Linked DNA regions of Kluyveromyces lactis. The protein of the gene in region 1 interacts with the protein of each later gene in a pairwise test. Links are inferred from orthologs where the notes say so. Each region holds a gene or a part of one and is shown in the gene's direction. Other genes may lie near its edges.

Region 1 (3,228 bases):
TGTGGTTTCGTTATATCTGAAAAAATGTCCGATACAGCTGACATGATGGTATTTACAGTGTTCTATCAAATGAGAAGAGTTTATGTACGAGTCAAAGGTCACGACAACTTATATACGTTTGAATTATCCCAACCACGAGCAGCTAGTATTCCTTTGATTGGGCCTTGTACCAAATCGTACTTTGGCCCTGAAACCGTGGAAATAAATCCACCTGGACCGCATACAAGAGAGAGAACTGGCCTCACTTTTGAGTCTAACGAGGTAAACGGCTCATTACCACCGTATGGATAAGGAGAAGGTATTCCTTCCATGGCAGGATCAGATTGCAAAGGAATCGAAATCCGGTTACTCTCATGTGTATGTAATTCGATTCTGTCGTTATCTTGAAGTTTTGTTAGAATACTATTCAACGGCCCTAATTCGGTAAGTGATTTACAACTATGATAAGCACCAATCTTACCTCTGAATGGTGACTCAGTTAAAGTCATTTGTAATAAAGGAACGATACCTGTGCCTCCAGTAAAGAACAATATATCGAATGGTTGGTACTTGTAATTGTCTTTGACACAATCTTCATTCCCCCATAAGAACGATCTATCTCTCGTGATCTCATCGGCAGTATCAGGGAATTCATATTCTACAAACGGTCCACGCAGCTCAAGTACATGTCCCAAAGGTAGATGGTTAATCCAACGAGCCACTTCTCCCTGTTTATACTGTTTAATGTAGAAAGTTAATGCGCCGCTGGCGTTTTCCTCATCTCGAAGTACTTCAACGGCTCCGTTTTCTTCGATTGTCAGAGGCAGAGGTGTGTAGCTTCTAACAACCATAATCTCTGGCTGTTTAACTTCGACTGACCAGAGTTTTGAAGAGTTCATTTCTTTCCAAAGATTAACCTTCTGTGCTTTCAAAGGTGTCAATTCGATCAAATAGTGATCCTGATCAATGGAATACTTCTTGCTGATTTTGTACTTCGAGAAGTAATCCCTTGATAACTCCCTTTGATATAAACTCTCCTTGTAGTAGTTCCATGATAGCGCACCGATTGCAACAGAGCCAGACAGTAGCAGAACTGTTTTCAATAGCGAAGAAGACTTACCAGCAGAAGGTTGAGGTAGAGTTGTTTTCGATGACGACGATAATCTTTTGATGCTTCCAAGTAACAATTTCATCTTATAAGATTCTGATGTCGTGTATTCACAGGTTAGAATCGCCTTTTGGCGTATCAAAGGAGAGTATCAATTATTGAAGAACCACACTAATGACTTTCCAGGTCAATTATGCCAGTGTTATCATTCATATGTATCGATTCTTTATGCATGAGTCTTCCTTGCAATATCTGAAAAGATTTGAAATATAAGAACTTATAATAATTAAGACAAAGAGATCCAAACTTATGATAGTAGCCATATGCATAACACACTTGGTGTTTTATTGATAATCCAAAGAACAAGGATACCTGCAATTAGTATAAGTGCCGTATTAGAACTGAACGATGGCTGGGTTGAAGTTATTGAAGTCGCTTGCATTGCATGATGATAAGTGCTGGAGCGTCGACGTTAATAATGGTGGAATTATGGCAACTGGAAGTACCGACAGAAAGATTAAACTAGTTGATATACGTTCTTTTCAAATTATCGAGGAATTGGATGATACTGCACATAAGAAGACTGTTAGAAGTGTTGCGTGGAGGCCTCATTCTAATATCTTGGCTGCTGGTTCGTTTGATTCCACTGTATCGATTTGGGGCAAGGACGATGATGGATACAACGATGAGAATGATCTGGAAACGGAGTTATTAGCCATTATAGAGGGTCATGAGAATGAAATTAAATGTGTGGCATGGTCTCATGATGGTGAATTATTAGCTACTTGTTCGAGGGATAAGAGCGTTTGGATTTGGGAAGCTGATGAAATGGGCGAAGAGTTCGAATGTATCAGTGTTCTACAAGAACATTCACAAGATGTAAAGCACGTAATATGGCATCAATCGCTTCCCTTATTGGCATCCAGTTCCTATGATGACACGGTGCGTATTTGGAAGGATTGTGATGATGATTGGGAATGTTGTGCTGTACTTAACGGGCATGAAGGGACTGTGTGGTCTTCAGATTTCGAGAAATCTAATTCCAACGTCAGGCTATGCAGTGGTAGCGATGATGGGACCGTCAGAATATGGTGTCTCGAAGATGATAACGGAGAATACGAGCAAGAATGGATCCAAGAATCAATTCTACCGAAGGCTCATACAAGGGCAGTCTACAGTGTTAACTGGAGTCCTAAGGGGTATATTGCTAGTACCGGTTCTGACGGACGTCTAGTTATATACAAGGAATCGGAAGATGGCTGGATAGTTGAGTGCATTCACGAATTAACACACGGAGTTTATGAAACAAATATGGTGAAATGGGTAGAGTATGGCTCTAAAGATGTCATCTTATTGATAACTGCTGGTGACGACGGTCATGTTAACGTATGGAAATTCGATGAGAATTAGCTTCTTTGCCGGACTTTATCAATATCTGATTTGTAACCTAGTATAACCTGCATAAAAATTACATAAAATGGAGGCATCCATGACGCCTCATGAATACCATTCATTCAACTGAAAACAGCCAGTATTGTGAGAAGAAGGAAAAACAATAGTATGAAAAGGAAATGTAGTTTTAGCTTACTTGAACTGCGTCCGGATCTCATAGCGCGAGATAACTCATTTGCTGCATTTCTGGTATTATCTTCTACATTGTACAAATTAGCTTCAATGCTATCTACTAGCTGCCCTTGCTGTTGCACTAAACCACCTAAGTCCTTGAATATGCCATTTAATTCCGTTATACCTTGTTCTATGTTTGATATCTCTTGGTCTCGTTCCCTGATCAGATGTTGCTGGTATGCAAATTCCTCATTATTTATTGGTTCTCGCTCTATAACCACCTGTGTTCTTTTTGCGTGTTCATCTTCTTCCTCTCTTAAAACAGTATCCATCAAGGAATTATTTTGTTCTTCATCTTCCAAAGCCACTTTGGCCATGTCATTTATCCGCTTTGTAACTTCAAGAAAATGTTGTTGATATTTCTTGAATTCCTGTACAGAGAATTTCGCATCCCTAGTCAACTTCTCCCTTGTGATCAAATGAGGCTTATCCAAAGCCGACTCCTCTAACTCATTAACTTTATGAATATTCTCGTTTATCGATGATACTAATTTTGTACTTTTGTCTATTAGTTC
Region 2 (3,672 bases), on another chromosome or scaffold:
GTTGCAGCTGTCGCCAAACATACCACCATTCCCACTCGCAAATACATATAGTGCACCTTTTGCATCTCGTCCTTCTGTTACACCTTTTATGATTGCCTTTTTTACTAATGTATCCGGCGCTTGCATAGTTTTACCGTCATCAGATGGACCCCACGAGCAAGAGTAAATATCATTAACGTCTAGTCCATAAATTAATGAAGCAGCCTCATCTTCGGCTGTGATCTGGCCTGACAAAATTCTGATACCGGATACCTTAGAGTTATAGGCGACACCAACCCCACAAATATCATTACGGAAAGCCGCTATTTCACCTGCGCAGCGGGTACCATGGTAATCATCTTTTAGCCTTGGCTTCGGCAATGGGTTGTTGTCATTAAAATCCCAAGAACCTTCAACACAGAAATTGTCTTTTAAATCTTCGTTCTCATAATCCAATCCATCATCCACCAATGCTGCCACTACACCATAGCCAGTGATGTTTTCTTTCCATAAACCAGTTACGTTAACGTCATTTCCAGGGTAGTTTGGATTGATCAAGTGCCACTGCTGATCAAACAATGGATCAGAAATATTGAAAAGAATTCTAGCGTTCTGGATTTGTTCCATACTAGAATCCCCAATAGGCAATCTTTTGTGTAACTGAACGGGGGGTAGATCGTGGAAATCAATGATGTTTTCTGAATATCCTGTGTCAATCGCATCTCGTTTACCCAAACTCTGCAACGGTTTCGAGAACACATAGTGATTGGCAAGGCCTCGAACATCGTGCTCGAAACTCCAGTCACTGTGTTCCGCTAGTAGATTACCTACATCATCATAAGATTCAATTGCAAAATACTGCCTATTTTCGTGGTCTTTTTTAGGAACTTGCATTGCTTTACCGTATCCTGACACTGCTATTAAAGCTAGCATGAGCTGCGACGATAGGATCATAACTATCGTTCTGAAAATTAAGGAATATTAAGGGAAAAAGGTAATAAGTAAGTGGAAAATCTTATTCAATGACTTGCCCGGCGTAGAGCTGATATCCTGATTTAGAGATTGCACCTAATTTGTCTAGCTGTACTAGACCCTTAGTATTGTACAACTTTTTGGAATGGCCTTTATTTTTATGCTGTATAAAAGACGTGTAACACATGAAAGAGCAACCCGATTCGATAAGAAAGTCTTCTAAACGTACCTAATCGTTAACAGGTCTTCTATGTTTAACCTCTAGCAAAGCCAAGTGCAGGGTTTATTTGTATTTCTTTCACTATATCTCTTTCTTATGTCCACTTTTTCGACTGATGTCTCAGTTCATAATAAAACATCACAGTTTTGGCACTGATCTAATAATATAATTTTCAACCTCAATGCTAAAGCAGAAATCCAAACCGAAAGCATGTCGGCGGTGAGAATAATTGTTCTCAGTTTCTGCCGTAAACAAAATCAAAGGCGGGTATCTTTATCAAGTTTTAGTCACGTGAATGAGAATATGTTATTCATGACACTTGCGATGTTGACATATTGATTAGTCAATTCAAAAGAAATTATAAGAGAAACTGAGACAGAGGATTTATTAGTAAGTGATTTCATTGTGATGGACTCAGAGTAGCATAAGAGAAGCCCATATAAGAACGTTCAGAATACAAAGCCAAAAACGATTCAAGTTGCATACTAAGGACTATTTTATTTGAAAACACTACTACTGCTTAGCTTCTTTTTCGAGGATCTTTAAGATAGAAAGAAACAATGAGTGCGTTACTTAGGGATGCCGATTTGAACGATTTTATAAGCCCAGGTTTGGCGTGTGTGAAACCAGCTCAACCTCAAAAGGTTGAGAAGAAACCATCATTTGAAGTTGAAGTTGGCATTGAATCTAGTGAGCCTGAGAAGGTATCGATCAGTTTGCAAGACTGTTTAGCCTGTGCTGGTTGCATTACTTCATCAGAAGAGATTTTATTATCGAAGCAAAGCCATAAGGTGTTCTTAGAAAAATGGAGCGAATTGGAAGAACTAGATGAACGATCTCTAGCTGTCAGCATATCTCCTCAATGTAGACTTTCGTTGGCTGACTATTACTCTATGTGCCTTGCAGACCTCGATCGATGTTTCCAAAATTTCATGAAAACCAAGTTCAATGCGAAATATGTTGTTGGTACCCAGTTTGGAAGGTCTATTTCAATATCCCGGATAAACGCAACCTTAAAAGACAGGGTTCCGGAAAATGAAGGCCCTCTTTTGTGTAGTGTTTGTCCCGGTTTTGTGTTGTATGCAGAGAAAACGAAACCAGAATTAATACCTCATATGTTAGATGTGAAATCACCTCAGCAAATAACAGGCAATCTATTGAAACAAGCAGATCCAACATGCTACCACTTGAGCATAATGCCATGTTTTGATAAAAAACTAGAGGCATCTAGAGAAGAATGTGAAAAAGAAGTAGATTGTGTGATAACACCAAAGGAATTTGTAGCAATGCTCGGAGATCTTTCGATAGATTTCAAGAGTTACATGACGGAATATGATTCATCAAAAGAGTTATGTCCCAGCGGATGGGATTATAAACTTCACTGGTTAAGTAACGAAGGCAGTAGCAGTGGCGGATATGCGTACCAATACCTTCTTTCCTTACAGTCCTCGAATCCTGAGTCAGATATTATCACTATTGAAGGTAAGAACAGCGATGTGACCGAGTACAGATTAGTTTCTAAGAGTAAAGGTGTAATAGCCTCGTCAAGTGAGGTATATGGGTTTAGAAATATACAAAATTTGGTTCGAAAGCTTTCACAATCAGCGTCTGTAAAAAAAAGGGGAATTAAAGTGAAAAGGCGGGGACAATCAGTGTTAAAATCAGGAGAAACATCAGAAAAGACTACAAAGGTTTTGACAGCAGATCCAGCTAAAACTGACTTCGTCGAGGTTATGGCTTGTCCAAGCGGCTGTATCAACGGCGGTGGTTTACTTAACGAAGAAAAAAATGCTAACCGCCGTAAACAACTTGCCCAAGACCTATCGCTTGCATACACGAAGGTTCATTCGGTTAACATCCCTGACATAGTCCATGCATACGATGACAAGTCCAATGATTTCAAATACAACCTCCGCGTTATCGAACCGTCTACTTCTTCAGACGTGGTCGCGGTAGGTAATACATGGTAGGGTAAACATAGTCCTTTGCATAATCTTTATCCAATTACCTAGTATGCGCGCATAGTCATTCGTATATACGCTCTCATTCATATTTATTTATCTATTGATAATTACTAAGGTTGCCACATCTGTGGCATGCAGCACTAAACGACAATGATCAACGATATTGGAAATCTTGTACTGCCAAAAAAAATGATATCATAGGTTGCTGAAACCCTTGCACCTTTTAAGCTGTGTTTCGGATAATCTAATTGGCTTTCTGTTACTCAAGTAAGTATATCCGTTGAATCACCCGCACAGAAACCCCGGTGGACATATCCCATCCAACCCTCTTATGGTATGTGTAAATAAGCTTTCTCAGTGTCAATTGCACGAGATTTTTCCGGCCTTAGCAGCCACTGTGGGGACTCGGTATAACTATCCACTCAGATGCTAACGCATTTTTCTACTTTCAGGTGAAAGCTGACAATCACATCGGCGACAAAGGAAAATTATCATAGAATTGAAAAGAAAAAAAAAAGGGTGGCCAGGGCAAGGATG

The links.
Region 2: the proteins of CIA1 (region 1) and NAR1 interact in binary tests that used the Saccharomyces cerevisiae proteins (3 or more experiments, as listed by UniProt). The link is inferred for Kluyveromyces lactis from reciprocal best matches to the Saccharomyces cerevisiae genes CIA1 and NAR1.

Annotation. Positions count from the first base shown.
Region 1 is NC_006041.1:1,944,134-1,947,361, reverse strand, and holds CIA1 (iron-sulfur cluster assembly protein CIA1), read left to right. Parts: upstream 1-1,495; coding exon 1,496-2,497; downstream 2,498-3,228. Other genes in the region: CYC2 (oxidoreductase), read right to left, coding at 99-1,172; SNAP receptor PEP12, read right to left, coding at 2,602-3,228. UniProt on the Saccharomyces cerevisiae protein: Essential component of the cytosolic iron-sulfur (Fe/S) protein assembly machinery. Required for the maturation of extramitochondrial Fe/S proteins.
Region 2 is NC_006040.1:1,673,676-1,677,347, forward strand, and holds NAR1 (iron-sulfur cluster assembly protein NAR1), read left to right. Parts: upstream 1-1,731; coding exon 1,732-3,141; downstream 3,142-3,672. Other genes in the region: kexin KEX2, read right to left, coding at 1-933. UniProt on the Saccharomyces cerevisiae protein: Essential component of a cytosolic Fe/S protein assembly machinery. Required for maturation of extramitochondrial Fe/S proteins. May play a role in the transfer of pre-assembled Fe/S clusters to target apoproteins.